Macaca mulatta: one gene and its partner. The main gene of each other region encodes a partner of the protein of the gene in region 2 in a complex. Links are inferred from orthologs where the notes say so. Each region holds a gene or a part of one and is shown on either strand. Other genes may lie near its edges.

The links. The genes of interacting proteins can lie anywhere in the genome.
Region 1: HNRNPU (region 2) and YBX1 share a complex: the UniProt entries of both Homo sapiens proteins name them as parts of the coding region determinant (CRD)-mediated complex. The link is inferred for Macaca mulatta from reciprocal best matches to the Homo sapiens genes HNRNPU and YBX1.

The regions. Positions count from the first base shown.
Region 1 is NC_133406.1:198,076,123-198,081,004, forward strand, and holds the start of YBX1 (Y-box-binding protein 1), read right to left. Parts: upstream 2,757-4,882; 5' UTR 2,618-2,756; coding exon 2,452-2,617; intron 2,317-2,451; exon of another isoform or gene 1,818-2,316; intron 1,781-1,817; coding exon 1,717-1,780; intron 1-1,716. UniProt on the Homo sapiens protein: DNA- and RNA-binding protein involved in various processes, such as translational repression, RNA stabilization, mRNA splicing, DNA repair and transcription regulation.
Region 2 is NC_133406.1:4,245,664-4,250,545, forward strand, and holds the start of HNRNPU (heterogeneous nuclear ribonucleoprotein U), read left to right. Parts: upstream 1-1,970; 5' UTR 1,971-2,208; coding exon 2,209-2,899; intron 2,900-3,794; coding exon 3,795-3,906; intron 3,907-3,993; coding exon 3,994-4,067; intron 4,068-4,882. UniProt on the Homo sapiens protein: DNA- and RNA-binding protein involved in several cellular processes such as nuclear chromatin organization, telomere-length regulation, transcription, mRNA alternative splicing and stability, Xist-mediated transcriptional silencing and mitotic cell progression.

The DNA of each region.
Region 1 (4,882 bases), about 190 Mb from region 2:
TCTTATTTTGGACAAAACTATTGATTTCAAAAAATGTCATAACCTATGCCCACTTTAAAAAAAAATGCAGCGAAACAAGGCACATGCTAAAACTTCTTAAACACATACAAAAACTGCGATCTATCTGCTGAAAAGGATGCATATTTGCACACCAGAGTTACCATTACATTGGGTCAAGGGTTAAAAGCAGTGATTTTGAAGGTATGGCCCGAAGACCATTATCATTCCTGTTAAAAATGTACCCAGACCTAATGAATCCAAAGCTCAGAAGAAATACACCACTTAAATCACACCCTTCCAAGGTAAGCACACTTAAATTTGAAAACCACTGGTTTAAGAGTTAGACTAGTAAGGACAGTCAGTAAGACACAAATACAAACTAAAACACTAACAAATTCAGACAGATCAGTTAAAAAGCTATCAGTTTACCAATCATATATAAGCATTCCCTTTCTTCTTTGCTAGTAAGCTTTTATCAAAAAATTAATGAAAACCGTAGTTTCAGCCAGCCAGGAAGGCAAACAGTATAGAACAAGTTGGAAAATCCTAAGATTCTGGAAGAAACAAAATGTTTTCCCACAATTGCAAAAGTAGAGAATAGATCATCAAATGCTTATCTCTTACTTTAAGTATTTCCACAATACTCTATGATTGATTAATGAACAGTTTTTCATCAGGCCATGAATCTGTCCTTAAGCTTGATTTTGCCCATTTGTTGTCCATTCCACGTTGTTCTTTTAATCATCTGCTTAGGTCTTCTACAGTAAGTAAGCAAGAGAATGCTGAGATGGCACTTAAGTACCATACCTGTGAGGCCAAGATTGCTACTGGCATACCCAGTGCTCTACACCCATGTAACTGCACTACTAGCCTTGGCAGCCATCTTGAAAATGATGCCCGGCTCACAAGGAAGCCCATGGAATACTGTGCGTCTACTGCACGTTACCACCACCACTGCCACAAACAACCCGAAGGGTAAGTCCTAAAGACGTATCTGCAGCTTTACCTTCAAACAGGAAGAACAATGTCAAGTTACTAGTGACTATGGCCACTCTAATAAGCTACAGCCAGGGATCTAGCGGAAATTGACTTCATCAGCATGATTTTAGGACAAGGAAGAATGAAATAAGAACTGAAGGAAAAAAACCATTTTCTTGCAGATATATTATTTATGAACAAATAAAAACAGTTCTCTCTGGTCAAAGCTGTGCTAATACAGAATTTATCTCAGGTATTAAAATGAAACGTGAAACAAAGGCAATACAACCTCTCGGTAAAGATGACAAAACCTCATATACTTGACACGTCAAATCCTCTTACCCCCAAAATGTTAACAAGGCGTAAATATCCGATGTCAGTGGATCACATTCTCAAATACCGAGTTCAATAAAGTAGAAAAGGATGACAAGAATAAAAATCTACTGGACCGTACTTTCCCGTTTACCCTGTTAAGGAATGGCTCATTCACTCCGCTTGCCTTTTAAATTGCTTTGTGCTGTGACGAAGCCCTTGAAGTTAGCTTCAAATTAATATTTAGCTGCAAAACAAAGGCATTCTCTAAACCCAAATCCCTCCAGTCGTCAAGGAAAACAAACAGACAAAAAATCACATTAATACACCAGAGGTAGTAAACGCCTTTCAGAAGAGGACTGTGGATTGGCACAGCAAGAAGCAAGCAAGAAGGTAGGATGGAGGCTTCAGAGCCCAGCAGCTCACCTGTTGATGAAACCATATCCGTTCCTTACATTGAACCATTTTACTGTTCCCAAAACCTTCGTTGCTGGAAAAGAAAACAAAGCAAAACAAGCCACGATTACCAGCTATCCTTTTCCAAACCCGTCTCGCTTCGGCATCCGGTCCCTCGCACGCTGCCCGCCGCGGCCACCTGACAGCCCTTTCTCTCCACCGCCTGGGTGCGGGTCCGCGCCGGGGCCACGCCGCCGCCGCCGCACACGTGGGTGAGTCTGAAGCGCGGGGCGCTCCCGGGCAGGCCCGGGGCGCGGGCCCAGGATGGGTGTGTTCGCAGGCCGCGGACGGAGAGCACGTGAGGGAAGGGGAAGCCGCTCCGGACTGCGTAGGCGGTGCGCCGCGCTCTCCGAGCACACGCGGAAGGGAGCTGGGTGGGGGAGACGCGAACAACGGCGTGCGGGCCCGAGCGCACGAGGCCAGTCGGCGGGGAGGGGACCCCGTCGCACACGCGGTCGGCGGCGCGCGGCCGCAGGAGGAGGGGCGCGCGGCCGCGCGGGGTCCACAGGGGGCGCGGGAGGCAGTGTGCGCGCGCCTGCCGGGCGGGCCCCCGCAAGAGCGAGTGGGGGGGCGGGGGGAGGGGCGGCCGCGCGCCGCGGAGTCGGTCCCCACCGGCCGCGCGCCCGCCGGCTCGCCCAGCCCCGGCTAACGGTTCCGCTGCCAGGCTGCCCGAGGGCCCCACCCCCGTCCCTGTCCGGTCCTCACCGATGACCTTCTTGTCCCCGCCGGCAGGCGCCGCCGATGTGAGGCCGCCCGGGCCACCGCTCCCTGCGCCGCTGCCCGTAGTGCCGGGCTTGGTGTCGGCGGCGCTGAGGGCGGGGGCGGCGGGGGGGGCGGCGGGCGGCTGCTGGGTCTCGGCCTCGCTGCTCATGGTTGCGGTGATGGTGACTGGGGCCGGCTGCGGCAGCTGCGGCTCCTCCCGGGGTGTGATGGTAACTAGGCCGGCGGCGGCGGTGGGGCTGCTCAGGGCTCTCTGGGGTCCGCTCTCCGCTCCCGCTACCGATCGAACTAGCGAGAATGGCGGGACAGGCGGGATAAGCCCTACGATCGACCCGCCCTAGGCGTTGTTCACTGGCCGGTGGTACTGTCAATCTGCCCACCTGACCTCAGTCCCTGGCTTCTATTGACTAACATTTTATCAGTCCTCCACTCTCATTGGCTGTCTGGCGGCTAATTCAGCCGACCTACAACCGTTCCTGCCTCCGCCGGCCGCCATAGAGACCGGAACTAGAATTAGAGTAGTCGGCCACGAAAACCATAGAGTACCTGAGAGGACGGGCAGAGGGAACGTGACTTCCACGAGGCAGTCGACGGGCTGGCGGGCCCGACGTTCAGGGTTGTGTCTCGGCTGAAAAAAAGGCACGCCCGAACGCTGGGCAGGGATTACCCGGCCGGACCCGGGATTGGAAGGGGGCTCGACGACGCCTTAGCTCCCCGTGAAGAAAAGGCTTCCCTCCCTCCCTGCACCAAATACGGTCCCTGTGATCTGAGAACATTACGGCGGGCATAGAGTCGTCTTTTCTTTAATGGCCGTGTACTCGCGGCACAGCCGAGGGTTTCTGGAATTGCCTTAAACGTATGCGTTTGAAGAGCGTACGCTTTTGTCGGAGCAGTCACCTTGGAGGGACCACGCAGGCTCTGGCAGCCCGGGCTCAGCATGTTTAGGGCGAGGGTGTGCTCCATGGGGACCTGCCTTCTGATCCGTTTTACCAGGCATATATTTTTAAAAATGTGTCTTCCTTTTCAAGTGTTAACGTGTTTTTCTACTGGCCACAAATCAGATTTAATTCAACTCACATTTATTGAACAAGCTAGCGTCCTATGTTTTTTTTCATTTAATTCGTACAACAGCCATGTGATAGAGGAATTACTATCCACGTTTCACAAACGATAAAATTGAGGCTGCCACCTGATGTTACTGAAGTCCTCCACCCACCTTCTTTCGTTCTTTTTTAAGCGTCTACTATCGGCTGGGGATGGAATAGTTCGCGAGTCAGTTTCTGCCTTCTGATGGAGGCAGAAATTTAAACAGCCAACACGGTAAATACTCCAGAGCTGCAGAAGCACGAAGTATTTTGGGAGTAGAAGCAGGGAGAAGGTGGAGGGCTGACTTTCTGCGCACAGGGTACAGGCGAGAAGAGGTGGGATCTCGGGAAATGCAGTCAAGTAGTTCAGTAAGACTCGAATGTGACATTGGGTTGCAGAGGTGGGCAGAGTCACTTAGGTGTATTGAATTGGAAATATATCCTGAGGGGAAGAGTGAGAAGAGCAATTTTAGAGTCGTAAGTAGGGAGGGGCATCTTTTTAAAAATGGCTGCGGAGTGGAGAATGGGTTGCAGAGGGGCAAGGAATGGAAGTAGAGAAAGCAGTTAGGAGGCTAGTGCAGTATCCCTTACCCCTACCAATGCCGTCTAGGCCTGTCAGTTCCACCTCCTAAAGGCCTTCTTGAGTCAGTCCTAAACTCTCTAAATGTCAATTCAGAGTCTTCATTCCTACTGCCACTACTGTAGGCCATCATCGCCAATTGCTTAGAGCAAGGGGTAGGAACTTTTTCTGTGAGAACCAAATAATAATACAAGCTTGGCCGACAATATGGTTCTGACTTACTACTCAGGTTTGGAGCTTGAAAACAGCCCTAATTTTTACATGACACGAATCTTTACATATTTTCAACTATTTAAACATTTTAAAAACGATTCGTATTCTTAGCTCATGAGCCACAGAAAAACGGAGTGTAGTTGGCTGATCCCTAGTATAGAGCAGTGCTGTTGGCTACTAACCACACCTCTCTACCTCTGTCTTACTCTAATATTCCTCACCACAACAGCCAGAAAGTTCTTTTGAGAACATCTGTCTGATCATGACACTGTCTTACTTAAAATCTTCCAGTGACTACCATTACCCTTAGGGTAGTCCAGATTCCTTAATGTGGTTTACTGGACTCTATGATTTCTAAGAAGTCTTAGAGTCTTCTCTTGTATTCCCTGTCCAACCTTCCAGGTGCTTGTAACTACTGGCTGCAGGATACTGCAGGAGCAGAGGTAGCAAACAGCTGAATTCTGTGACAATAGAACTTGGTTAAAAGTGTTGCTTCAGTGTATCAGATGACAAGGGAGATGGTGAAATATTACAAGGC
Region 2 (4,882 bases):
GCGTCCCAGCTTCCTGGGCAGTAAAATGAACAGGCCTGATGATCGATCTCCAGGCCCCATCCAGCTCTAAAGGTCTCCAAAACTTTTGGAGATAAAGCCACGGAACTTTCTCGTGAGCATCAAAAGTTGTATTTCATGTTTTATTGCAACTGACTTAATGTTCCAAGAGTGACTGTTAGAGATCTAGTATACGTAGATATGCAAACTTTGTTTTCGTAGTTTAGTGTTTTCCAGTAAACGAAATTTGTTTTCATATCACTAATATTTAAAAGTGTAAATAATATCTAGGACACATAAATTTAAAGAACCATCATAATTGTATTTAACTCTGATTCATTAAGGGATTAATTACCTAGTTTGTGAACGTGTAAGCCCCCTGTAGCTCTCTTCCCATTTTTGAACAAAAATAAAGAAGTTTCAAATTCAAGTTGGTGGCATATTTATAACCTTCAAAGACATTATAACCAAAGGCTAAAATGAGATTCTGGCACTGTTTGGAAGTTTCTATTTTGGGGGCTCGCCTCACCACTTAACTTGAACTGGGGATTATCAGTAGTACCGTACATAGTCCATTAATTTCAAGTCAAATCATTTCACAAATGTTAATATTTCACGTATACATGGCTGCAAGGTATGACAGAATGCTTCATAAAAGCCATTGAAAATAAACTTCAAAAGTAAAATGCATCAATCAGTTAAATCCCATTAGCCTATGGGAGAAATTTCAATATGTATACCTCCAAATTTCAAATTAATAATGGGGCAATATTATTGTGCCACCTAGAGTACCAAACAGTGGGTATAAACCATCTCCTTAGTCAGATGGAACACTGGCTGGACACTGCAGATTATCTGGGGTTTAAGACGTTAACTTCTATCACGAATCTAAATTCTGACTTCCCTGTCTAAAACTTCGGGAACATCACATCTTTTATTTAAAGCGAAAAAGTAAACTTCTAACATACAAAATAACGGATTTCTTTTCAAGAGCGATAGTCCTTTTTTTTTTTTTTTTTTTTTTAACAAAATCACTGCCCTTGATTTTTCATGAACTTTAAGTTTCAGAATGATTTGGTCAAGAGTATTTCTACAGGAATAGGAAGAGAATCAAGTGGGCCTATAATCAAAGACCTAGCTGGGTCTCACCCTCATGGTTAACTACTGAGACTTCATAGCCGATGACCAGGTCCTAAAGTGGACAGAACAAGCCTTACTGGAGGTCCGTCTTTGTGGTAGGTACAGAAAACTTGGAAATGCAATTCTGTGGTTTATTTAGGGTTATTAAGAGCATGAGAATAGCCCTGCAAAGGCTGGTAAACTAGGGTTTGCAGTATGGAGTAGTAAGCAAAGCCTCTACTTCCCAGGCCCTGCACCCGGGGTGTGGAACAGACAAAAGAACGGCTCTGCCCTTGCCCTTCTCGAACTTAAAATCCAATTCGCAAAGCAGGACTTACACATATTAAATCAAATACAGCATTATGCTGAAAAGAGCCCCTGCGTGTAACAGTTGCCAATGTGTGTTATACCAGTCAAAACGATTTGAAGGAGTTTTAAACGGAAAGCTGGAGAAACATACAAGAAGGCAGATCTAAGATGGAAGAAAAGGCGGATTCGGGTTGAAATGCCAAGTTGAGGACTGAAGAAAGCATTTGGACAAAGCAGCCTCCAGGCTGGGAAGGCGAAAAGCCAAACGAGTATAGCCACCAAAGACCCAGAAAGGCCAATAGATTGTGCAGTGAGTCGGTTTAACTGAAAGGCGGTTTCCTTTTCCTCCATTTGCTCAGTCCCAATTGGAAGCGCACTGCGCGGCCTGCGCCGCGCTCTCAGCCCGGGTTCGGCGTGGGGGCGGGGAGGTAAGTACGGTAATGGGCGGGGCCGAGCGCGGGCGCGCTCCGGCTTTCCTCCTGCGCAGCGCTCCCGTCAGCGCAGGGGGCGGGGCGCCTATATTACGTGCGCGGCGCCGCCCCTGCGAGAGGACGTTGCGTGCTCGCTCGCGCCAGGCGAGTCTCCGCGTCTCCCTCGCGAACTCGGTGAAAGGAATTGGCGCCGTTCGACACCAGGCGGATCCGCTCTGCAGCACGACCCCATCTCCAGCCGCAGCCGCAGCCGCCGCCCGGGCCGAGGAGCAGCCGCAGCAGCCGCCACCAGTGGCCGAGTGAGCGGAGCCGAGTTTGAGGCAGCGCCTAGCGGTGAATCGGGGCCCTCACCATGAGTTCCTCGCCTGTTAATGTAAAAAAGCTGAAGGTGTCGGAGCTGAAAGAGGAGCTCAAGAAGCGACGCCTTTCTGACAAGGGTCTCAAGGCCGAGCTCATGGAGCGACTCCAGGCCGCGCTGGACGACGAGGAGGCCGGGGGCCGCCCCGCCATGGAGCCCGGGAACGGCAGCCTAGACCTGGGCGGGGATTCCGCCGGGCGCTCGGGAGCAGGCCTCGAGCAGGAGGCCGCGGTCGGCGGCGATGAAGAGGAGGAGGAAGAGGAAGAGGAGGAGGAAGGAATCTCCGCCCTGGACGGCGACCAGATGGAGCTAGGAGAGGAGAACGGGGCCGCGGGGGCGGCCGACTCGGGCCCGATGGAGGAGGAGGAGGCCGCCTCGGAAGACGAGAACGGCGACGATCAGGGTTTCCAGGAAGGGGAAGATGAGCTCGGGGACGAAGAGGAAGGCGCGGGCGACGAGAACGGGCACGGGGAGCAGCAGCCTCAACCGCCGGCGACGCAGCAGCAACAGACCCAACAGCAGCGCGGGGCCGCCAAGGAGGCCGCGGGGAAGAGCAGCGGCCCCACCTCGCTGTTCGCGGTGACGGTGGCGCCGCCCGGGGCGAGGCAGGGCCAGCAGCAGGCGGGAGGTAAGAAGAAGGCGGAAGGCGGCGGAGGCGGCGGTCGCCCCGGGGCTCCGGCGGCGGGTGAGTGCTGCGTTGTACGTTGCGCGCGGCGGGAGGCCCGCGCGGGGTGGGGACCGTGCCCCAGGCCTGCCGGAGCCCCGCAGGGGGAGGGAGCCCCGGGCGGGCGGGGGGCCGCGGGGAGGGTGGCGGGTGGGGGAGGGGGCGCGGGGAATCCCAGATTAGCCGAGAGGCCTCGGGCTCGGGGCGTGTGTGCGTGTGTTCGTGTGTGTGTGTGTGTGTGTGTGTGACGGCGGTGGCAGCGCCTCCATTATGTGGCTCGAGAGCCGGGGGGAGCTGCAGCTGCCGCTGGAGGGGGAGGAGCCGCGGGCGGGCGGCGGGAGGGAGCCCGGTCGGCCCGCGGTGGCGCCGTCGCGCTGCGTGCGCGCGGTGCGGGCACATGTCTCGGGGGGAGGGGAGAGGCCCCAGGTCCCGGGGCGGGCGCGCTTTGGCGGCTCCTCGCCGCTGTATTGTGCAAGGAGCGCAGGGGCTCGGCGTGACGTCACTTCCTGCGGGAGGAGCCGGGCGGGGCGGGGCGGGGGGCGGAAGATCAGTACAATGCGGCCGCGGGGAGCGCGGGCCCGCGGGGGAGGGGAGCGCCGCCGCGCCGGGCTCGGCCCCTCCCCCTCCTGCGCCCTGGTCGCGATACACGTGGGCTTCGGGCCTGGGCCGCGCAGTTTTTCTTTGGGTTTCTCGAATCATCGAGGAGACTGGCAAAATTCGTAACGTCTTTAGACTGCGTCACTAGCGCTAATCCAATTCGTAGCTGATTGTTCTTCGAATTCACATTTGAGTCCTCGGTTAAAACCTCGGTTAAAAAGCAGGATAAAGTCGAGCTGCTTTGCTTCTCGGAACGGAAAAGCGTTTTTTTGTTGTTGTTTAGCGGCTTGGCCTCTTATGGGGGTCTTGTGTGTTTTAGGGGACGGCAAAACAGAACAGAAAGGCGGAGATAAAAAGAGGGGTGTTAAAAGACCACGAGAAGATCATGGCCGTGGATATTTTGAGTACATTGAAGAGAACAAGTATAGCAGGTATAGGATGCTCACCTAGTTTTACTTGTCATCCCTTATTCGTTCGTTGATCGGAAAGCTGTATCAGGAGACAATTCTGTCTTTCAGAGCCAAATCTCCTCAGCCACCGGTTGAAGAAGAAGATGAACACTTCGATGACACAGTGGTTTGTCTTGATACTTGTAAGTGAAGCTGTTTCTCCCCAATTATGAAATGCGGTGATGGTTTTTTTTTTTTTTTTGCTTCCAAAATGTTAGAAAACTTAATGCTTAAGTGCAGCAAAAGTTGGGTTAGGTTTTTTTAAAAGCAGGAAGAGATAATGGTTTATATTCAGAACCTAGTAGTTTAATATTTAGCACGGCATCAGTTGTATCAAATGGATTATTTTACAGGCTCTAGGAGTTTCATATTTTTATGACTTGAAAGTTCTCGTTCTTAGGAAATGTAAAATTAATGCCAGTTTCTGACTAGCTAACGGAAACTTGTAACACTACCTATAATTTAGCCTTACAGGCTTCTACAATAAAGTAATTCATTTTTTTGTGGAATTATATTAAGTGAGCTATTTGGGCTAGTTAAATATTTACTAATGACTTCTCCCATTAGCACACAAGTATATTCCCTATTCTAAAAGATTGTAATATTATTTTTTCAATAACTGCTCTTTTGTTCTCAATTCCAGTTCAGTAGCTGCTGCTTTAAACATAAGTTGATTTCTTCCAAAGACCTGAGGCAGCAGCAGTGGGCTATCACTGGGCCACTAGCTTTCTTCAGCAGCGAATGGTATCAATGGCAGTGCAGCACTGTAAATACTGCTACTTCACCCAGTTGGGTTGCAATTGAGTATGAGAAAGTATTGCAAACCTCTAAGTGGGCTTTGACTGTCAGACTTGCATTTTTTTTGTTGTTGTTATAAAAAAAAGTAGTTGGTTTAGTGACCAGAATTCACAACTCTGGGTGTGATAAATAGACCAAAGAATAGAAATACCTGTTTGAA